Linked DNA regions of Alligator mississippiensis. The protein of the gene in region 1 binds, or shares a complex with, the protein of each later gene. Links are inferred from orthologs where the notes say so. Each region holds a gene or a part of one and is shown on either strand. Other genes may lie near its edges.

What was found.
Region 2: SMARCD2 (region 1) and PBRM1 share a complex: the UniProt entries of both Homo sapiens proteins name them as parts of the SWI/SNF-B (PBAF) chromatin remodeling complex. The link is inferred for Alligator mississippiensis from reciprocal best matches to the Homo sapiens genes SMARCD2 and PBRM1.
Region 3: SMARCD2 (region 1) and ACTL6B share a complex: the UniProt entries of both Homo sapiens proteins name them as parts of the BAF complex. The link is inferred for Alligator mississippiensis from reciprocal best matches to the Homo sapiens genes SMARCD2 and ACTL6B.

Annotation. Positions count from the first base shown.
Region 1 is NC_081827.1:170,136,561-170,144,304, forward strand, and holds the start of SMARCD2 (SWI/SNF-related matrix-associated actin-dependent regulator of chromatin subfamily D member 2), read right to left. Parts: upstream 3,001-7,744; 5' UTR 2,935-3,000; coding exon 2,770-2,934; intron 1-2,769. UniProt on the Homo sapiens protein: Involved in transcriptional activation and repression of select genes by chromatin remodeling (alteration of DNA-nucleosome topology).
Region 2 is NC_081835.1:38,675,133-38,683,040, forward strand, and holds the start of PBRM1 (protein polybromo-1), read left to right. Parts: upstream 1-4,853; 5' UTR 4,854-4,880; coding exon 4,881-4,955; intron 4,956-5,160; exon of another isoform or gene 5,161-5,215; intron 5,216-7,908. Other genes in the region: GNL3 (guanine nucleotide-binding protein-like 3), read right to left, coding at 1,315-1,452, 3,867-3,925, 4,256-4,268. UniProt on the Homo sapiens protein: Involved in transcriptional activation and repression of select genes by chromatin remodeling (alteration of DNA-nucleosome topology). Required for the stability of the SWI/SNF chromatin remodeling complex SWI/SNF-B (PBAF).
Region 3 is NC_081838.1:23,998,318-24,005,916, reverse strand, and holds the start of ACTL6B (actin-like protein 6B), read right to left. Parts: upstream 3,083-7,599; 5' UTR 3,001-3,082; coding exon 2,976-3,000; intron 2,783-2,975; coding exon 2,706-2,782; intron 2,352-2,705; coding exon 2,186-2,351; intron 1,711-2,185; coding exon 1,610-1,710; intron 970-1,609; coding exon 872-969; intron 345-871; coding exon 250-344; intron 48-249; coding exon 1-47. Other genes in the region: SRRT (serrate RNA effector molecule homolog), read left to right, coding at 4,624-4,742, 5,035-5,163, 5,243-5,389, 5,479-5,667. UniProt on the Homo sapiens protein: Involved in transcriptional activation and repression of select genes by chromatin remodeling (alteration of DNA-nucleosome topology).

The DNA.
Region 1 (7,744 bases):
TCCATTTCAAGCCTTGCCTGGTAGAGAAGGCTGCAAGCAATGCTTCGGCTTGTTCAAAGCTAATCCTGCCAGCATGCAGGAGTCTGGCAACCTGACTAGCTTTGCAGGGGAGGGGGAAGGAGAAAGTAAGAGCATCAATTAAAACATTTATACTCCTCATACTGCAAGTGCTAGACAACAGAGGACTGCTTCACTGGTTCTCCAGCAGCTCTGCTTTGGCCAGTTCCACTCCCAGGGCCAACAGTGAGGCTGTATTCAAGGTCTAAGTGGGAACCTCCTCTCCTTTTCCATTCCCAGTCAACCCGCTCTCTGGTAAATGTCACAATGGCAAAACACACATATAACTATTGACTTGGGAGCTGCTATAAAAGGGACAAGAAGAGAGGAAATGGAAAATGTTAAGTAGAACACACCACCTTTGCTTAGAGTGTGATCTGTGCTCAATTATCTCCCGAGTGGGTTTGTTTTCGCCCAAACAGAAGGCAAGTCCCGTGACCTCCAAGTGAATCTTGCCGCTGTGCTGATAGGGAGCCGTGCACAACAGTTCCTGTTGGGTGTATACGGCAGATCCAGGCAATCACTGTGGGCTGCTGACACTGACACAACATGTGTGCATTAACATTCAACTACTAACAGCACTTCCCTGGACTTCAAGCAATAAAAGCAATGGAGAACAATGAAAAGATGGCTAATGCAAAGGGTGAACTGGAAACAGACTTCAACAGTATCTGGACTTTTTTTTTTTTTTTTTTTTTAATTTCCTGATCACATTCAAGAAGATTTCTATTGAATGAAATTCTTGACTGATGCCCCAGATCCCATAACACCATGAGCAGAGTTGCCATCTTGAGGAAATATTGGAGGCCCAACTCTGGAGGGAAATGGAGTCAGTGTCGCATTCCCAGATCTGCAAACAGTACACTATCCAACCTTAGCCAAGCAATGGAGACAAGCCCATTCAAGCAGTCACCACCTGCGAATGCCTCCATTTCCTGGTCTGCCACTGGAAATGCCAACACTGGATTTGCAAAGTACTAAGAAGAAAGTCAGTGAGAGCTGCAACTGCCCAGGTTCCCTGGTAATCAGGTTCCAGGTTTTGAGCTGGGCATGCAAAATGACTGACACTGGAACACGTAAATCTTAATGGTGCACTGGGTAGCTCATCTGTACAGTGGGAACAATTCTCACCTTGGCAGTACAGAAGTGCTTTGAGATCCTTAGAAGACATCGTGACAACCCTAGCATTCTGGTTAAATTCCCTCACTTTGGCGGGCTGAATTCAAGCACATTCCCACATACACACACCCCCTTGAACCCAGTGAAAGCAACTACCCTGCCTCTGCTGAGGAGCTTTATCAGCTCCAGACACATAACGCAGTCTCCAGCGCCAGGAGGACCTTTAGAAACTCCAGCTTCTAAGGAAGCCACTAAGCTTCTGCTGTTACTTTTCAAGTTGAAGTTACCGTCTCCAGTTCATCCACTCCAAAACGGAGATCCCTTCTCAAGCTGACACCTCCTGCAAGGAAACACCCCACCCACACATCCCCGGAGACATTTAAAAAGGATCTCAGCCAAATTCAGAAAGAAGGTGAGCGCAAGTCCTCAGACACAGGAATCCTTGAGAGAGCGGGGGCACTCCGCTGGGAGTCCCCTGGCACGCTCTCTGAGGACAGCACAGACAAATCTCTTCCAGTGTCAGGGCTGCAACAACAGTTTTAACAAGCAGGAATAATTTCTGGTAATAGGGATGATAGCCTCCACTCCTAAGGGATCTCCGCCCACAAGCTTCTGGGCTTGAGAGCAGAGTTATAGATAAGTCTTGCTGCCATGGGCTTGCTTCTCTACTTCTGCCAGATGATTGCGTGTGGAAGGACAGAAGCTGGATGAGGCGACCTGGAATTAAGCTGCCATAACAGAGGCCCACCTGGTCCATGTTAGCGCTGAGTTACAAAGCCTGCTCTACTTTCAGTTAGCCCCTGGCTACTTCTGGATGAACAGGCAGGAAAGTATGTTTATGAGCTGCTTTTTCCATCTGGAACAAGGCGTGCAACACATTTTTTGGAGGAAGACTCTGTTGCCAGATCCAGGCCTTTGTCACTTAAATTAGAACAACATGCTGCGTGCAAAGCAACCTACTGATCAAGCTGGCACCTGCGCTTTTTTAAGCCAAGCATCGTGGCAGCACACACGCATAGCGTCACACCTGGGCTTTTGGAGTGGCACTGGCTCAGCTTTCCGATACGTTTTAGGGTGCAGCAGCTGAACAGGAGCCCTCCCGCCAGCCGCGCCCCAACCTGCAGCGCTGCAGCGTTGCGCCTAGCTCAGGGCACAAAGGCATCAGGCCCCAGGACTTAGCAGTGTCAAAACCCACGAAGGCTCCTGCTTGGAGACCGCGCAGGTCATCGAACCAGCCTATCAACTACCCACCACCCGGCTGACAGCAGCTCCCCGCGACCGCAAGAGCGAGTCCCCGAGCGAGCGGCAGCCCATCTCGCTCAAGAGCGCTGCCGCCATGGGGCTGCTCGCGGGCACCCGCTCCCCACATGCGTGGTCTTCCTGCGTCTCCCCAGGGTGCCGGGGGCAGGGCGCAGGCCGGGCGGCTGACATGTGGCGGGGCGGGCAGGCGCGGGGGTCCTGACAGAGGGGCCTGAGCCAAGCCGGGGCGGGGGCGAGGGGGGCCATAGCTGTTGCGGGGCTTCACCAAGTGCCCGCCAGGGGGCGGGCGCGCACCCCCGCCCCGCGCACCCGCCACGCCAGACGCGCACTGACCTGGTACTGGGCGGCGGGGCCCAGGGAGCGGTAGCCGGGGGTGGCGGGCGCGGGGGCCGGGCTGGGCCCCCGCAGGAGGCCGGGCCCGGGGCCGGGCGGGGGGGCCGCGGCGCCGCCGGGGGGCAGGGGGCTGAGCGGGAAGGCGCCGCGACCGGACATCGCCATGGCCCGGCCCCGCCCCGCTGCTAGTGCTCGGCGCGGCTCCCCGCGAGCGGCGGCGGCGGCGGCGGCGCCCAGGGCCAGACACCGCGCGGCGACAGGCCCCGCCCCCACGGGGACCACGCCCCCGGCCTGCCCCGGGAGCCCCGCCCCTCGACCTGCGCGTCAGCGAGCCCCGCCCCCAGGCGCCCGGCCCCGCCCCCGCCTGTGTCGTCACAGCCCGGCGAGCTCCTCCCCGCAGTCTTGGCCCGCTCCTGTGCGGACTCGTTCGCTTCCCTCCCTGCCTCCCGCCTGCGCCCAGCCCCGCCGTGTTCAGCCCGCGGCTTCGCCTTCTCGAGTCTGGACGTTTCCTCCGTGTTGGCGCCCGGTGTTTGCAGTCTTGCTTCTCGACCTCTGGTGGGCTGAGGTCCCGGACTTGAGAATCGGGCGGGGAGGGCGCTGGCCCGTAGCCCCCGGGGCGCCGAGTCCAGGCGGTGGGGCGGGGAGGACGCCCGCCAGGGCCCCGGGGTGGGCGGCCGGGAGGAGGATGGCGGCAGGCTGCCACCATGCCTGGGGGTGAGGAGAGGGACTGAGTTCTGCCTGCTCCGGCCATGCGGTTTCGGGAGGATTGCGTTCTGCCCAGTCCAGGTGACTCGGAACGGGTCCGGGGTATTTGACCTGGAACACGAAATGTAGTATTAAAAAAAAAAAAATTCCCTCCCAACTGCCTGGTAACTTTAGCAGGGCCGCGTTCCTCGCCCTACTTCGCTCCCGTCCCTGAGCAGAGTATCACTGGGCAGTGTCCACTAGCTCCTTGGGCGCTTTTGAGGGTCTGTGGGTGCTGTCCGGCGTCCTGGGCCTGGCCCACGCCCCTGAAGGATGACAAATAGGCCTGGTAACTTGACCCTGTTCGGAGGCGGTTCAAACTTCCCGTGCCGGCCAATGGAGCTTGGCGCCTGCAGGGAGATGTTGGGCCGTGTTGATGTTCATCCTAAGTCCCTCCAGGGCTGTCACTAGTTGTGACTGTCGCACTTTTGTTCCTGTGGCTATCGGTGTTTCATCCAGTGGCTGTGCTGTGGAGAGGAAGCTTTTCTGTGATTTTACCACAATGTGGCCGTATAAGAGGAGCATCTTGTCTTCTGCCTCCTACGTTGTTTGCTCAGTCACCTCAAGCAAAGCAATTCTATCCACTGGAGAGAACCATCCATCAGCAACCAGCTAGGACTGGCAGTCACGAGGCTGCACCACACAGACCTGTCCTCTTCTTCCTTGCTCTTGCCGCCCCCACTCTCCTCAGTGACCACAGGAAGAACACCCAGCATCTCTGAGCCTGACCAAGTAACTAAAGCCTCACCAAACACCATTGCTTTCCAGCACTCCTGTGTTCCCAGTGTCGATCTGAATATCTTTATTACTACTATTATTTAAATATATATAATTATATTTGATTATATAGAATGGGATATAGCTATGCCCCATTCTATCCAGAAAGTTTAATACACTTATCTTCCCAAAACCCCTGTGAGGGAGACTCAGACACTTGTTCCCAGTGTGCAGAAAGGGAACGGAGGGACAGGAAGGCTAGGCAACTTGCTTGGGGTCACACAGGCAATCTGTGGCAGACCAGGAACTGGAATCCAGGCCCCCTGAGTACTAGGTTAGTGGCCTAACTACAGTGTCATTGTACCTTTAAAAATATCACAAAAAGAGATGTGAGGGGCTAGACATCTCCCTTTAGACATCTCCCTTAGACTAGACATTAGGAAGAACTTCACAGTTAGAGTGGCCAAAGTCTGGAATGGGCTCCCAAGGGAGGTGGCGCTCTCCCCTACCCTGGGGGTCTTCAAGAGGAGGTTAGATAGGCATCTAGCTGGGGTCATCTAAACCCAGCACTCTTTCCTGCCTATGCAGGGGGTCAGACTCAATCTATTAAGGTCCCTTCCGACCCTAACATCTATGAATCTTTTAAAAATGTCCAGAGGAACAAAGGCTCCATGCTACCTTCCTCACCCCCCACCTCAGGAGACTTTCCAAAGGAAAGCAAAAAGGTGGGAGCAATTGAGGGAATGAGGTCTGCTTTGTTTTCTTCTCCAAGCCCATTCAGGAGCCAAGTCATGCTACCAGTCTCCTCCATGTTCCTGGAGAGTTTGCAGGTTTGGGTGGAAGTCATGGAATCACCGAGACTCCAGGTTCATTTGAGTTGGCATTTCTGAGGGCTCCACACACAGACTTTGCATCCAAGATCTGTAGTCTCTGAAGGCTGATGGTCCATCCCTGCCCCCAACTCTTCAGCACACAGGGCAAATTCACAGTGCTACTAAGCCAATTAGTTTGTATGTTGTGAGAGAAGAGGAGCTGGCTTGCAATCAATGGATGCCCTGAACTGTGGGGCTGTATTGCCCACACTAGTCATTAGAACCATGTGCTGCTCTCTCATCTCTTTTGGTACTCACTACAGCAGCCTGTGGGTCCCTACTGCCACAGCAAGGATGGAAGATAAGAGTCCAGGAGATGCTGAATTAGACCCTTGCTTGAGACGAGGGTAGATGGCCGGCGTGGCCAACTTGCAGCACATGTACTGCAAGCAGCACAGGTAGCCTCTGTACATGGTACACAGCAGATCAGGGAAAAGGCAGGCAGCGCAACAACAGACTGCAGAAAACAGAGCAGCAGTTCAGGCAGGGAGCACAAGGTGGGCAGCAGAAAGCAGAGCAGCAGATCAGAAAGATGGAGGGAAGCAGAGTGGTACTTGGGGAGGGTGTCAGGGTAACTTGTAGCACACCTGTCAAAAAGGTTGACCCCCACTGGAGCAACCTAAGCCAGTGCCACCCCATGTCTCCCCTAGGACATGGGTCCTGTTCACCTCTTTGTCCTACTACAGGCCAGCCTGGTTGCTTCAGCTTCCGCAGGGACTCATGCAGGGATGGGTGTTGTTGTTATCATTCATATTAGACTTATTAACTGTTCATTACTAGCATTATCATTATTAAAATTAGCATCTAAGTCTCACATGTATTTTAACTGCCTTATGGCTATTAATTCATGCTCCTTGTGGCCCTCATTAGAATAAGAGCAGCGAGTGAAGATGATAACAACAATCACTATAATTGTTTGTTATTGCCACTGTTGATTACTTCACTGTGCAGTGCTTCTTGCCAGTCACACCCCCTGAGGCACCCTGGCAGCAGCAGAACACAGGGGAGCTACGCAGTTCCCAACCCTCTGCTACTTACAGCTACCACCTGCTCTGTTGCTTCTGCTTTTCACGCTGCCTCACCCTTCTAGATCCACCTACACCTCCACGCCCCTGGAGGTGCCCCACGGGGTAAGGAATATCCACCCATACTCAGTCAGCATCCTCCCTATTTGGTTTCTCCTGCTCCTCTTGCCTCGTGACAGTGAATGAAGCCCTTCACCACCCAGCTGTGTGTCTGGGCTGAGAAGCAAAAAAGCCTGCCTGTCTACCTCTGAGAGGAGGGCAAGTGTCCAGCATAAACACAATAGATCATTACTGCTATGCAAGGTGTCTTGTGTGTGTCAGTTCACTGAGGTTTGAGGGAATGAGCTAAGATGGTGTCGCAGCTGTGGTCACCCTTCACAGCCAGGGAATGGAAGTATTGTTAGTATTTGTATTGTGGGACTGCCTGCAGGCCCCTGGTCAGAACTGGGCCCTCTTTGAATGAGGCATCCCTGAATGAAATGCATAAAATGACAATCCCTGCGCTGATGCATAGGCAGCAGGAAATAGGGCTCTTAGCATCTTCCATTTGTAAAACTGCTTGTTTCCTGAGCCTGAGCCTGGAAAGTGGCCAGTGTCTAATAACGGGACTGGATGAGAGTTACAGTGTCAGTATAAGCAGCCCCCTGTTCATTCCTCACTGCACAGATTCCTATAAGCCCTCTACATAAGATCTGCCATTTACTGGGTAAACCATAGGTCCATCTTGCCCAGTATTGTGTGTCAGACAGTGGCCAAGAGTAGACAGTGAAAGGGAGAGTGAACTGGGGATGACCAGGGTTTTTTGCCACTTCTCTCACTTGCAGTCCCCAGCATTTAAGGTCTAGGCAGTTGATTCAGAGGCTGTACCCCTAACTTCTGTGCTCAATAGCTACTGATGCATATTTCCTCCAAGAATTTGTCCCACCCCTTTCTTGAATCAGGCTAAACTGACAGCTTCTACAACATCTGATGGCAATGAGTTCCACAATGCAATTACAAAGAAAACAAAGAGAAACTCTGACCTTTCAGAGGCCTCATTCAGTGGCTTTAGGGAATCCCAAGCCTTCCACCCCCATCTATCAGGCATCTACATCTACGGTTGAATTTGTAACTTGAACCAATTGCACGCCTGGACTGGGAATGGGGGCTCCCCCTTATAACGATTACACTGTTAGGTTTAGTAAGAGAAGGGAAGAAATGGTAGAGAGGGAAATAAATACTTTTTTAAAAATGTATTTATTTATTTGTGAATTTGGTTAAATTCTCATGACATTTTAACCGCTGGATCAGTGGCACTGGAGATCCAGAGAAGGGGAAGGAATATTGTGCCACCGGGTTGTGCCCTGCAGGAAGTCACCCTGTCCCAGTGGGTGTGCTCTGTAGAAGACATCAGCTGTTCAGCACTCCCTGAACAAACAGCATCCCAGAAATTCATGGACCTGCTGCCAGTCTGGGACACGGAGCCCCATTGGGCTCACATCAGCAAGGGGTGCAAGCAACAGCTGCGTTAGTTTCCTACAACCAGCACTCACCTCCTTACCCTCCGAGATGTGGCCTGCAAGGAGCCCCACAGTCCAGATCTGACCTGGGACCAGGATGAGTTTGGCACCCCTGAGA
Region 2 (7,908 bases), on another chromosome or scaffold:
CCAGGGCAGGTGATGCACAGCCAGGGTGGAATGCAGGACAGAGGGGTGCAGCTCCCACCACTATGAGCACCCCCAGAGGGCATAGGGGCCGTGTGCCCCCAGATCTGCATGTGGGGTGAGGGTGAGCTGCGGGCTGGAGCCAGGGCAGCATGGGGAAGGATTGGGGGGCGGGGGCCTACAGAGAATTCTGGAGTGGCTGCAGCCCCTCCCGTAGTCCCCTCCCAGCACCGCCACTGCCCATCCTGAGTGCAGCCCCTGACCGGGAAGAACCCGGCACTGTCCTGGCCCCAGCCTGCAGTGGCCCACCTTCGCCCCACGTGCAGATCTGGAGGCACATCACCCCATGCCCTCCATGCATGTAGTGGCTGGAGCTGCCCCCCACTGACTGAGGCTCAGTCCTGTGCCCTGCCCCACTCCCTCCCCCACCACTGAGGTCTCAATCTGCCCCACCTCCTTAAAAACAAGAAAAAAAATAAAGGGGTACAAGGTGAAACTTTGAGGCAGAAGGGGTACATTTGTTAAAAAGAGGTTGAAAACTCAACTTGGAATGTTATTAATTTAATTTGCATGAATTTTAGCACTTGTACTAAATTAGTTCTTTGCAACAGAACTTTATTATGAAGATGTTAGAGAGATCCCTCACCAGAGCCATTTCTCCCAACAGACAAGTCAGCAGAACTGATCCAAACAGAGGTACAAGGCGAGCTTTTAAAGGAGATTGATAAACCAAACAGTAACAAATCACTAGGACTTGACAACATTCACCCTAGCATCCTGAAGGAGCTCAAATCTGAAATTGTGAAATTAATTACCATAATATGCAACCTATAACTAGGGATCTACATTAAATGTTACAATACAGGAAAGAGATCTTGGGGCCCTGGCATACACTACATTTAGGACATGATTAAGATGTTAATTGTGCCATAAACAGTACATATGTTAAAGCCGATTTATGGGATATTAATATAGCAAATAAGACACAAAGATATTCCATATATAATATCTTTGTGGCTTGTTTGTATCACACCTTAAAGTGAAAGTGTGGCATGTTGGGGTTGATACATGAAAGATCCCAATACTCAGCTGAGCACAGAGATCCGGCATGGGGAAACCCCAAAGTCCAGGACACAGGTCCCTACCCAATCACTGGGATCAGGCTGTGGACAGCACTGGGTACTAGATTAAACACCCCCATCCAAGTAAATGGCTATTAAGGCTATGTAAAGTGAAGGATGACATGCACCAAGTTCCCCTGAAAGTGAGGCTGTCTTCATACCCCCTTTCACTTCACTATAAATTAAACTATGTTACCCTTTGTTTCCTTTGTTCAGCTTCACGAAGAACTTCCTCCTTGAATGGTGCAGCACTGGGAACCCCTGGATCTTTTCGGGGCTTTTTGTTTCCACGCTTCTTGGCTTCTTTCCTGAGTTTTCTCTTGTGTTCCCGTACCTGTAATCAAGAAAGAATATATATTGGAATTCAGTTTAATAGGAAAAGCTAAATGCCTACATATAAGTATGTGGCCAGAGAAAGATTTTTAATTGCAAAATCAACACGCATGTAGCTATAGCTAAATTAATGAATCCTAAGTATTACAAACTTAAAATTCAAAAGATCTACAGTATTACATCATCTGTGCCACTGCCCCTCCCAATGAAGATCTGTTCTTTACAATATACTTGAAGGCAATTTTCAAGCACCGTTCAGACTCCCATATCCACTTAAAATAACCTCTACTGCAATGATTCTCAGCCAGGGCGATGGGACACCCTGGAGTACTGCCAGATCCTCTGAGCATTCCCTCATGATAAGATAAACTAGGTAGATTAACTCAGGCTCAGGCTAATGCCGATCTAAGTAATTATCCCACCCCCATGTCCCAGCCCCTCTGCAAGGAGGTAAAGACTAGAGGTGCACTGATATATCAGTCGCATATTGGATCAGCACTGATAACAGAAAAAATAACATTATCAGCCTTCAGCTTTTTTTTGGCCCATAATACCACCAATAAATGCTGCGTGCATGTCAAGTACTGGGCCAGGAATGCAGCCCTGAAGCTTGGAGAGCAGCATCCTGTTGGTAGGTTGGGGGGGGGGGGGGGGGGAGAAATCAAGGCCCCCAGGGTGAGGGAGGGATGGGTCAGGTGCTGCCCACCCAGGGTGGCGGATGCAACCCCAGGGCGAGGCAGAGCCGTGGGTAGCTCATCTAGGGGGTGCAGAGCAGGGACTCCCCCCTGCCACTGTGCGCACCCCTAGGGGGAGGCATGAGGGGCATGTGCCCCCCGAGATTTGTGCAGGGGGTGAAGATGGGCTGCCCGCTGTGCACTAGGGTTCAGCATCTGCACCAGCCTCTTCCCCAAGGTGGAGGCTGGGCCAGGGCTCCACTTGGGGTAGGTGGGGGTGGGGTGGGCTCAGCTGTGCGGGGCAGGCAGCAGCAGTGCTGGGAAGGGTGGCTATGGGGAATTTGGGGATGGCCATAGTCCCCAAAGTCCACTCTCAGTGCTGCTACCTGTACCCCCACAGCTGAGCCCACCCCACCCCACCCCACCCCAGTGCAGCTCTGGCTCCAAGCCTGCAGTGGGCAGCCTGCCCTCGCCCTGCATACAAATCTGGGGCAGCACATGCCCCCATGCCTTTCCCAAGGGTGAGCACAGCGGCAGGAAGCCATCCCCCCCGCCCTCTGGAATGGCAGTGCGTGGCTCCACCACATGCCCCAGGGTTGCATTCACCACCCTGGATGGGGCAGCACCTGCCCCATCCCTCCCTCACCCTGGGAGCCTCAATTTCCTTCCCCACCCAGGCTTACCAGCAGGAGGCTGCTCTCTAAGCTGCTGGGCTGTATTCCTAGCCCCATGCATGCCATAAACACAGAATTTATCAGTGACTTTATCAGCCAAAAAAAATGCCATGCCAGCATTTCCCCCCCCACAGCATGCAGCCTATTGCTTGTGCTGGTGCAAGGTCTGAAACCCTCTGCTACTTAGAAGACAGCCCTATGTTAGAGCTCTTGATAACGCAGCACATTAGAAATACCTCAGATCTGGGGGTCCAGACCCCTGGAAGGAGTCTGGCAGCGCTGAGAGAGCAGGTTGAGCTCCATGGAGCTGGTGGAGCCACTCAAAGTGCAGCCTGGCAGCAGGAGGCAGGGAGATCCAGTGGCAGAGACGCTCTGAGCGTAGCCTGGCAGCAAGAGGCTCTGCAGCCCCACAGAGTTGAGCCTAGCAGCGGGAAGGAGGGGAGAGCCACTGGCCAGGGCTGCGCTCAGAACAAAGGCTGCGCTCAGAGCAGCTCCACCACTGGCTCTCCTGCTGCTGGGCTGAGCTTCGTGGGGCTTGCGGAGCTGCTCGGAGTACAGCCCTAGCTCTCCCCCACCTCCCGCCACTGGGCTGCTTTGAAACTTGAAACATTTTGGGTGCCCTCATTTCATTTCAAAGCCTGTTGTTTCATTTCGATTTCACTGTCCCAAGCTAAAAGGCGCCGAAACAGCTTCAAAATAAAACACCAGTTGAAATTTTGGACAGCCCTACTGAGCCCCACTGCCCTAGACAAACAGTGGAACCATGAACATGTGCGGTGTGAAAGAACTAGGAGCTGCACTACGGGGCCCCAGCTGGGGAACGTGTAGGTGAGTGCTGAACAGTGTACAGCCCTCCCCTGCAAATGCAACAAGTCTGTTCAGGACTTCGATGTAGCTGAACACAATGAGGCTCCACGTAGTGCTTTGCAGCCCAAAGCCCTCGGGAAGCCGGGCAGCGAAGACCTGGCCTGAGCTTTCCTGCTTGCCTTCCCCCTCCCGCCTGCCTATGCTGTGCTTGGGGCAGAAACTGGTCCCTTGAATCCGACCGCTCCCGCTTGGTGACCCACCTTCCTCTGGATCTTGTACCGCTTGTGGCAGGTCAGGCGCTTGCTGCCCTTCCGAAGCTCTGCAATCAGGACACGCCATTAACAGAGGGCAGACGAAGGCCGCCGCCTATCAGCACCCGATGATGTCGCGGGCCACGGGCGCCCGAGTGTGGCCGGGCCTCGGCCACAGGTCTTGGGCACGGAGTCCCGGCCCCACGTTGCTACAGCCTCCGATTGATCGCGACCGCCCGGCCTGGCCCGGCCCCCACTACCGCGCGCCCCAGTCCCGGCCCCGCCCGAACCTCCCACGGCCACGGCCCCCAGTCGCTGGCCCCTGCCACAGCCTCGCTCCCGCTCCCACTCCCGTTCCCGGGCCGCGCGGCCAGGCGGCGCCAGCGCCCCGCACTCACTAGGCCTCTTCATGGCTGCTGCCGCGCGCTCACCCCGCGTGCAGGCGGCGGAGCCGAACCTGGCGGCTCTGCCGTAAAGCGCACCGCCCGCCCCTTCCGCGTCCCGCCCCTAGGCGCTGCACGGGTTGTCGCGCTGGCGGGCTCGCTCGGCGGCCGGGCGGGCTTTACGGCAGCGGCAGGGTCGGTGGTGAGGGGCGACAGCGGCTGTGCCGGCAGGGCGGCAGCGGTGGGCGAGTGCGGCCGCAGTAGCGGGCGGCAGAGCGGAGCTGCCTGGGTGGGTGAGGGAGTGAGCGGTGAGGTGGTGCGCCGAGGCGGGGCGGGACGGGGCGGGGCGGGGCGAGGCTGGGCCCGGTAGCCGGGAGGCCTCTGCTTCCCTTTGTGTGGCCGCCCTGCCCGCTCGTGGCGGCGGCGGTGCCCGCCCTCGCGCGGCGACCCCCCGCCCCGCGCCACGGGACTGCCGAGGGCCCCCCGCTGCCGGCCGCGCCGGGCTGGCCCCGTGTCTTGAGGGGCGATTCCCCCGCGGGAGACGCGTTGCCGCAGTGCTTCCACGAGGCTCCTGCTCCGGCCGGGGCGGTGGCGGGGGCTGTCAGCGCAGGGAGAAGCCCCGCCGCCGCCGGGAGCCTCGATGCCCGGTGCTGTCACGCGGTTTGCTGTCGGTGGCCCCGGGATGGGCAGGCGGGCTCTGCTGCCGCTAGCGCAGGTGACAGCCGGGGGCTGGGAAGGGACCGGCCGCGACGCCTTGACGTCTCCGGCGATGTGAGGGGTCCGGTGCACTCTGGCGATGCGCGGGGTCGGGGCGGGCAGCAGGGTAGAGCGCACTTGCCACGGCTGTGCAAGGCCCCGAAGACGTGCGTGGCCCCAGGGAAGCGGCGCTTCCCTTCAAAGTTTGTTCCGTCTTGTCACAGTAGTGCCGCTGCTGCCGGAACCTGCCACGGGAGCAACAGAGTCCTGCAGCGTTTGGTAGGAGAAGAATTAAACTGGGACAAGCCTCTGTTTTGTGTACTTGTTATCTGTCTTGTACACTTCTTTCTCCAAGGCTGAGGAGACAACTGTGCGGCCTAGCTAACTTCTTTCCTGCTTTATCCTCTGAAACAACCCTCTGACATGCTTTCCCAGGTTACAACACAGTTTTAGTCTTGTCAGTAATGCTGCAGGACAGTATATGGTACATTCTCTCCCCATCATTTTGTTGTGTTTGTCAACTATCTGTTGAATGGTTTTATAGAAATCCAGGGAACTTTCAAAAATAGTTTTTGTGGCATCTATATACATGCTTTGATTAGCTACTCTGAAGGGTACGTAAAAATTTAGACTTTTAAAAAACACTTTTCAGCTCCTTTTAAAAATATTTTAAAGATGTGTAGAAACAGTATTCTTACATGGGGATTACTTTTGATAATAGATGTGTGGGACCTTAATGGAGTACATCAGAATATTACATCCTCAGATATTGTTAGAAGAAATTATGTTTTAGTATTAGGAAGAGAAATTTTCTTCAGTGACTGCCTGTAGGTGGGGTCTTCAGGTGCCTAACCTTTTAAAGAAGTTTAAAAAAATATAATGGCTAGGATTTACTAGTATTGTATAAGTGGTGTGGAGATGCTGTACTTGAATCCCATCAGATTATTTTATAGTCCTCAAGATCCTTTGCTTCATATAAGGACCAATTTTCTAGTGGAGATACACTAGTACTTGGTGCATTATTCAAGGATACATGAAATATTTTGATTCCAAATGATAAAGTACTACATACTAGATGAGTAAAAATCATTTTATTCTTTTTGGTTCTTTGAATACAGTTTTTTTAGAAGAACAGTTTTAGAACAGGTATTCACTGCTGACAAAACTGTATAGATTAATATTTTCCATGCTGGACTTGATACACTTTTGATTTTAGTAGATCTGTGTTTAATCAAGCTCATTATTTCATGGTATGATATGTTGAAAATCTGTCATGCAATAGGGATATAGCTGAAGGTTTTTGAACGGGGGTTAAATTAAGGCTTAATAAAGTAGAATCAGCAATTTCCGGAGAGTCTTGATGGTGTGGGTCATTGCTACAAGTCTGCCTAGTAACTTAGGGTTGTAAGACTTTTTTTTTCTTCTTTTTACTGTCACTGTACTACTTTTTTATAGTACCATCAACTTACAGTTTCCACTTACTCCCTCTTACACTTAGGCTACTAGATGAAGTGATACTTGCATTACTCGGGCTAGTGAATGGCTCACATTATAGTAGCATTTAAACATTTTAGTTAAAAGTTCCAGAAATGTATATGCTTTGCGTATGCAGAAAACCTTTAGTTTTTGATAACCCCCTCCAAATTTATGTTTCCTCTTTTCTCCAGCCTTTGTGATGGCTTTTCTCAACTGTTATTCTTAAATTCTTTTTCTCTCTACTCTCTCCTTTTAACCTTTCCCCTCTTCTGTTTTTTCTCTCATTTTTCTTCTCTTTCAGCTTTGGCTATTAATGCAATTGCTGATTTGACATTTTCAAAGACTTGCCATCTCTTAGTACTTTAACCTGACCATTGGACACAATGAGGAGACTGGCTTTTCGAGGTGCTGGTTGTACTCTGGTAAATCTGGTAAATTATTGATCATATACACACCCTTCTTCCTTTCCCCTGCCTGGCCTTTTATTTTTCTTTATCTTAGCCTTAGTGAATCCAACCTCATGCTCATTCATCTTGTTTGTTTACTTGTAATGAATTGTTCACTGGAATAAACATGAACATAGCTATGTCACTACTTCACCTTATATAAACTGTAGATTATATAACAGAAAAATACATTGTTAAAGTGAAAAGAGCATGGGTGACACTGGAAATATTTTTTTTGTAATAGTGACACCTTGCCATTAACATTTTGGCAGGATCCAGCAATATGTTTCATAGTAAACTCAGTAGTTGCTGGATGCCTAATAATTTCAGTCAATAGTGATGTTAATAAATTCAGACCAGGGACAAAAAGAGAAGACTCCTTGAGTGATCCAATTTGCACTCAGTCCTAATTTTCAAGTGAGAATGATGTAGCTTGAGAATGCAACCAAATTTACCTGTATTGTGGCCCAAATCCTTTGTTTGTCTGTTTGTTTTTGTGATTCTGGGACTAGATATTACATAGCAGTTGTGATTTTACTCTTAGTTGCATTAACTGTATGTTTTGGTTTTTAGCTTATCAGAGTTGTAAAACTATCTCTGAACTTCTCATGTATCATGACAATACATCTTATCATTATTTTGGAATGAGGAGTCATAAGCTTTTATAGTTTAAAAAAACATCCTAGTAACTGCTAGATAATTGCAGCACTTTGTGCAAGTCCCCAGCCCTGCAGGGATGGGTAGCAGTATATAATTCAAAATGTATTTGATTCATAGAATCATAGAAAATTAGGGTTAGAAGGGACTTCATCTAGTCCAGCCCCCTGTTCAAAGCAGGACCATCCCCAACTAGATCATCCTAGCCAAAGCTTTGTCTAATCGGGTTTATAAAACTTCTGTAACCTGGGAGGTACACACTTCCAAGGTTGGAGATTCTACCACCTCTCTGATAACCTGTTCCAGTGTTTTACTAGAACACTAGTGAGAGAAATTTTCCTAATATCTAACCTAAACTTCCCTTGCTGGAACTTGAGACCGTTGCTCCTTGTT
Region 3 (7,599 bases), on another chromosome or scaffold:
GCACTGCATGGAGATGAAGTCCCCGGCCAGCGGCGACTTCACGATGCCTGGAAATGTCCCCCCACCCCCAGGAGATGTGAAGCCATGTCCCCGCCCCTCCCCCCCTCAGAGTTCGCCCTTCTCAAAGCACAGGGAATGGACCCAGGCATCTGGGGACCTCTCCCTCTGGCTCCCAGAGGGGACCCAGACATCCAGGCTGCCTCCTCTGTGCCCCCTGGGGAACCCAGGTGTCCAGGTGGGGGATCTCACCCTGCTGCAGGATGTAGCCGTCGTGCACCGGGATGGCGGTGGTATGGGTGGCGCCACTGTCCAGCACCAGCCCCGTGCTGCGCCCATTGGCAAAGCTGACCCCTGAGTCAAGGCTTGGACACCTGGGTTCTCTGCCTGCCCTGGGCAGGAGTGGACCTGGATGCTTGTGTTCTCTGCTGGGCCCAGGGGGGCATGGGGGGAGGCTGTCTGGGATACATGCTGAGCTCATGGTGCGGGGGTGGGGCTGGGGCCCCTGGAGGGGAGGTCCTGGACTGGAACCCAGGTGTCCTGGTGTTCCACTCCCTTCCTCCATAGAGTATGTTGTGACCAGGAGGGTCTGGGGAGACATACTTGGGGAGCACAGCAGGGGGGACATTGAGGGATATGCAGTGAGGATGGTGGTCGTACAGAGGAAGGTAGGGTCCCAAGGGTTTGGGGGTATCCCAGGGGGTGGTCTGGGTGAATCCCAGGGGGATACAAGGTGAGCATGGCAGGGGTTCTGGGGGGCTATGAGGGGTCCCAGGGGGTGTCCCAGGGGTGGGGGGGATATGCAGTGAGCACGACGGTCTTGCAGAGGAAGAAGAGAGAGTCTGGGGGTGGTGGTCTCCAGGGGGTTGGATACGCGGTGAGTACAGCGGTCTTGCAGAGGAAGAAAGCCGGGATGTTGTAGTGCTCGAACATCAGCTCCGTCAGCTTCTCCCGCTTGGCCCGCGTGTTCCACTACGGGGACATGGGCCGCTTGCTAGGGCAATGGGGGGGGTCTAGTTGCCATGGGGATGGGGGGGTGACCTGGTTGCCATGGGGCATGCAGGGCCTGGTTGCTATAGGACATGCAGGGGTGTCCGATTGCTATGGAGATGGGATCCTGTTGCTACAGGATAGGCAAGTGGCCGAGTTACTATGGAGAGAGGGATATTGTTGCTATGGGACATGTAGGGGGTCTGGGTGCTATGGAGATGCACACCCTTGTTGCTATGGGGATCAGAGCCCCTATTGTTGTGGAGATGGGAGCTGTGTTTGCTATGGGACAGGCAGGGGGTCGGGTTCCTATGGAGCCCAGATTCCAGTTGCTATGGAACAGGTGGGGGGGGGTCCAGTTACTTGGAGATGGGAGCCCAGTTGCTATGGTACATGCAGGGCCTGGTCGCTATGAAGATAGGGGCCCAGTTGCTATGGGACACGCAGGGCCTGGTTGCCATGGGCACACACAGATGGGGACAGTGGTAGCCGGGGGCACATGCTGTTGCCATGGGGAAGATGGGGTGGTGGTTTCTGGATGGGGGGAGGGGGAACACACAGTTGCCATGGGGAGGACATGGAGCAGTTGCCGGGGGCAGTTGCTGCGACGATGGGCACGTACCGGCGCCTCGGACATGAGCACCGGGTGCAGGCCAGGCTCCGACTTGATGTGCTTGCTGTAGGTGTGGTCCAGGATGGCCTGGAAGCACTCCCAGTCCTCCACTGGGGGGCAGGGAGCAGGGTCAGCTGACTGGCCCTGCCCCCTGCACCACAAGGTGCAGCACCGGGTGTCAGGGAGTGTGGCCACAGGGTAGGGGTGGGGGTGGGGCCTCTGCCCCCCTGCTATTATGGGTGGGGGCATGGCCTAGGATGTAGGGGGTGTGGTCAGAGCCAGGGGCGTGGCTTGTTCTGTAGGGGGCAGGGCTGGTTTGGGCATGGTCAGAGCCTAGGGGGTGGGGCATGGGTTGTGGGGGTGGGGTGTACAGGTGTGGCCAGAGCCAAGGGGGTGTGGCTGGGTTTAGCCATGGCTAGACCCAAGGGGGTGTGGCCAGTCCTGTAGGGAGGCAGGGCTAGGTACGGGTGTGACCAGAGCCAAGGGGGTGTGACCTGGGCCTAGGAGGGCATAGCCTGGCTCCTGCCCAGGGCAGCCACCTATGGGGGTGGGGCCTGGCGGCCTGGGGACAGGGCCAGGGCTCACCCATGCCGTTCTTGAGAGGGGAGAGGACCTCGGCAGCCTCGCGGGGCACATGCAGTGCATTGGTGTCGATGTAGTAGGCCTTGCCACCCTTCTTGTCCTTGTCGCCGTCCAGCTCCAGCACTGCCTCCTCGTGCGACTGCAGCCCCACGCTGGTGGGGAAGTCCGCCTGGGGCGGGGGTCAGCACAGTGCCCCAGCCCTGATCCTGGCTCCAATCCCCGATCTGATCCCCGAGCCTGGCCCCCATTTCCCACTCCCAGCCCCTGGGCCCAATCATGAACCCCAATCCCCAATCCTGGACCCCAGCCCCATCCCAGCCTCTGATCCCAGATCCCAGCCCCATAGACCCCACCCCAGCCCCCCAGTTCCGATCCTGACCCCCAAGCCCGGATCCTGGCCCCATGCTAGATGCAGAGCATGCAACATCCCTCAGAGGGCCCAACCCGGGATGGGGAGGGGGCTTCACCTTCAAACCTACTCCCCACCCCACAGCCCAGAGGCCCTGATCCAGGACTCGCGTACCTTGGGGCAGTCCTCGCCTGCATAGCCGGCTCGGACCGAGAAGGAGCCGATGTCAAAGACCAGTGCCCCGACTTCATCTGGGGAGAAGACAGCACGTGAGACCCCTCCCCATGCAGCTGTGCCTGGGGGGGGGGGGGGGGGGCCGGACTGGGTAGAATGACAGAATGCCTCGGTTCTCGATAGGGGGTCCCGGGCCCCTGGGTTGTCTCTCGCGGGGGGTCCCGGGTCCCTGCATTCTCTATGGGGCCCGGACGGGTGCCCCCCCCGCACCTCCCCCATAGACGCCTCCGCTCATCCTGGCTCGGCAGCAGGTCCCAGCGGCGCGGCTGGTTCAGCACCGCGGCGACGGACAGCGTCCGGGGGGGCGGGGGAGGAAGAGCGGCCGCAGCCAATCCCAGGGCCGTCCCCTCCCGGCGCAGCTCCCGATTGGCTGGCCGGGCAGACAATGAGTGACAATTGAGCTGCTTCTTAAAGGGGCAGGCGGGAGATTTTTTTTGAGCTGGGGCGGACGACTGGGTTCTCCCCGAGCTCCCGGGAGCACGTGCATGGGATGCAGGCTGGAACGGGGCAGGGCTAGGGTATGGGATGGAGGCGCGGCTAATTATGCAAATCACAGCACGGGGGAGGCGGGGCTAGGGGTGGTGAGGTGAAGGGGTGCCTTAGCCTGGACTGCACCACAGCTGTGCTGGGGGGGTTATTTCTTTCTCAGGCTGGGTGTGGTGGGGCGTGATTTGGTATCGCCCTGCTTCCCCTCTCATGAAAGCAGTTGGTTTCTCCCACGTTCCCCCACCTAGTTAGTCTGGTCCATCCTAGTCCCCTCCCACCACCACCCCCGCTAGGAATGTGTTGGCCTCTCCCGTTCTCCCCCCCTCCCCGAACAGAGAGTTGGTATCACCCTCCCCCCCTTATCTTGGGTTTGGTGTTTCTCATTCCACCCCACTTGGTATCACCTATCCCCCCATGCCCAGTGAGTTGTTCCCTCCCACTCCGCCCCTCAGCACCAAGAGAGTTGATATCACCCACCCCTACACCCTGTGAAGTGGTCTCTCCCACTCCCACCTCCCCCGCCATTGAGACAGTTGGTATCACCCACCCCTCTACCTGTTCCCTCCATAGCTACTGTATTGGTCTCTCCCATCTCCTCCCACCGCAGTCAGAGTTGGTATCACCCACCCCTTCTCCCGCTATAGGGAATTGGTCTCTTCAACTCCCCCTACACCGAGACTTGGTATCACCCACCTCCTCCCCCCAGATCCAGTGACTTGGTCTCTCCGAGCCCTCCCCCCACCCTCAGTTGTGCTGGGCGCCCTCGAGCGAGTCCTCCACGCCATAGAAGGCTGGACCTGAGTGAGTCCTCTGCACCATAGAGGCGGGAGGTAGACAGTCTTCCGAACCATAGAGTCCCACCTCCTAGACCGGCCCCTAGCGAGTCCTCTACGTTAGAGAGGGCTGAGACCTAGTCAGTCCTCCGCACCAGAGGCTGGGGCTAGAGAGTCCCCAGCGAGTCCTCCACGCCAGCTAGGGCCGCGGCCCGGAGAGGCGCGTGGTTAGAGCGTCCCCCGCCCCCTGCCACCACCTCTACGCGCTTCCGGCGCGGCCCCGTTTCCGCTTCCGCCGCGCGCGCTGCGGTCGCCTCGCGCCGAGCGGAGCCAGTGTCACCCCAGGCCCCCCTCAACCCCTGAGGTGCGGGGGGGCGCTGGGCTTCTGGGGAGGGGTTTCCATGGAAACGGGGGTGGGCTTGCCATAGCAACGGGAGGGGGGCGCCTTAGCGGGTGGGGGCTTTAGGGGGTGTGGGGGTCGCCATGGCAACGAAGGGTGTGGGAGGGGTCTGGGGTATCCATGGCAACAGTTGCTTGGGGTGATGGGGGACTGGACCCCCGGAGCAGCCGCTGATATCTCCCTTCCCCAGGCATTAGCGATGGGAGACAGCGACGATGAGTACGACCGGCGGCGCCGCGACAAGTTCCGGCGTGAGCGCAGCGATTACGACCGCTCGCGGGAGCGCGACGACCGGCGGCGCGATGACTGGAACGACCGGTGGGGGCCAGGCCGGGACGCCCGGCTGGGGGGGGTGACAGGGCCGGGATGCGCCCAGCTCTGGGGTAGAGCACAGCCAGGTGTAACAGCACCAGGGATGTAGCCAGCTCTAGGGTGGGAAGAGCAGGGAGGTATAGCAAGCGGGGTTAAAGTGCAGCTGGCTCAGGGAGAGGGAGAGGGCCAGGCTAGGTAGAACAAGCCTGGATGCACCCAGCCCTGGGGAGGGGGTATGTGGGGACAGCAGAGGGAGATGTTGCCCCCGTGCCTTTAATTCCTTCCCCTAATCTGGCAGGGATTGGGACCGTGGGCGGGAGCGCCGCAGCCGGGGCGAGTACCGAGACTATGACCGGAACCGGCGGGAGCGCTTCTCCCCGCCCCGCCATGAGCTCAGCCCCCCACAGAAGCGCATGCGCCGGGACTGGTGAGTCCAACCCCCTCATCCCTCCCCACGCCCCCCCCCATGGGTTGACCGCTTCTGACACCCCTGTTTCTCCCTGCAGGGATGAGCACAGCGGGGACCCCTACCACAGCGGCTACGAGATGCCCTACAGCGGGGGGGGCGCCGGGCCAGCCTACGGCCCCCCCCAGCCCTGGGCACACCCTGACATGCATGTCATGCAGCATCACATCTTGCCTATCCAGGCAAGGTAAGTGTGTGCCCTTTGTCCTCTAACCTCCCAACTCCCATCTGCCCTGTCCTCAGCTTCTACCCCGACATCTCTGCCCCCCCCACTAGGCTGGGGAACATCGCGGAGGTGGACCTGGGCATGGCGCCACCTGTGATGAAGAGCTTCAAGGAGTTCCTGCTGTCCCTGGACGACTCGGTGGATGAGACGGAGGCTGTGAAGCGCTACAATGATTACAAGCTGGATTTCCGGCGCCAGCAGATGCAGGACTTCTTCCTGGCCCACAAGGATGAGGAATGGTACGTCCCGCCCCCCCTGGAGTCCCGGTCCCCATGTAGGAGTGAGAAGTGGTGTGTTTCCTTCCATACCATAGTGAGGAATAGTACGTCTTGGTCCCCCACAAGTATCAGGAATGGTTTTTTTCTTATCCTCGTACAAGAATGAGGAATGGCATGTCCCATCCCGTCCGCCCGCCCCCCCCGCCCCGAATGAGGAATGGTGCATCCTATTCACCCCCTAAGAATAAGGAGTGGCATGTCATTCCCCCCCCAAGAGTGGAGAATGGTATGCCCCATTCTCCCCCCCACCAAGAGTGGGGAGTTACTGTACATCCTGTCATGTCCCCCCCTCATCAGAAATGGTATTTCCCATTCCTCCCTTCCCCAGGAACAAGCAGTGCTGTGTCCTATTTCTCAGAGATCTGAGGAATGGCACGTTTTATTTCTGCTGAGGATGAAGAATGGTATGTCCCATTTCTCATCAGGATGAGCAATGGTACATCTCATTTCTCTCAAAGATGAAGAATCATGTGTGTGTGCCCCCACACAGCTGCCCCACCCCTGAAGAATGAGGAATGGTGCAGACCACCCACAGCTCTATTCTCTTCACCCCCATCCCCCCCAGGGTTCGGTATGGGACCTGGGAACCAGCAGCGGGGTGAAACTGGTCCCAATTAAGGGCAGGAGATTGGGGGTGGGGCCAGTGCTCCCCTTCCCCAATGTACAGCCCGGCCCCTGCTGTGTTCTTTGGCTCCTTCCATGCCGGACTCCTGGGTTCCTTCTACTCTCGCAGCCCCACCGCCCAGTCTCCCCAGTAACAGACAGGCCCTGGGGACTGTCTCCAGACTGGTCCCAGTATAGATCTCAGTGTAAACCCCAACTCCGAGGTAGCCACATTATAGCACCCGCGTCCTGTTCCACCCAGCCTGGCCTCCCAGAGCTGGGCGCATCCAGGCCTGCTCTACCCATCCATGCCCCTCTGGGCGTACCTGGGCCTGTTACACCCAGCCTGACACCCTCCCCACCCCCCGAGCTATGCATATCCTGTCCTGTTCTACCCAGCCTGGTTCTCCCAGAGCTGGGTGCATCCAAGCCTGTTCCACCTATCCACGCCCCTCCCCAGAACAAGCTGCATCTCCCATTGCTCCGAGGGGGGCCCTGTTACACCCTGAGAACCCAGGCGTCCTGCAAGCTGACAGCCCCCTCCTTAAAAAAACCAAACAAACCACAAACTCCAATCTATACCTGAAACCCCAATTCTTGCATTTTTCCCTTTAAATTCTTCTCCCTTTGTTAGCTTTTGACTTTTTTCTCTTAACGAGTCCGTCTCCGTTCCATTGTGGATGTTAATTATAACTCACCCTTCTTTTCCCCCCCCCCCCACGTCCTCCTCCACCCGGTTCCCAGCCAGAAAGGAGAGAAGCCAATTAAGCTGCCCGCCTGCGGAGAGACCAAAAATAGCCGTTTTTTTTTCCATTATTTTCTTTTTTCCGGTGCCAATCCCGGTGCTTTCGGCGCTACCGACTCCCGGCGGCTGCCTCCCCATCCGGGCCCTCGTTAGCCAGACAGCCAGGGCCCGCCCACCACGCACAATGTGGTGCCTTAGAACTACGTAAAAGTCGGCAGGAATTAGACAGAGAGGCCGGGAAATTTGCCCAAAAACCCGGCATTTCGGGGTCTTTTTTTATTTTCCTTTGCGTGTTTGGTTTTTTTTTTGTTTTTTTTTTCCCGGATGGGGTCTTTTTTTTTTTTTTTTTTGTCTCCTGGAGTCGCCGGGAAGGAGGAAACCAGCCCAAAAGCCCCTGAAACTGGGGGCTTTTTGGAGTCGTTTTTGGGTTTTTTTGTGTTTCTGGTCCTCTTTCGCAACCCACCGGAAAAAAAAAGCCAGCGGCCCCGGGCTGGAGTCGGAGCCACGTGTATGTATGACCCGCGTCGTTCTCTCGCTGCGTTCGC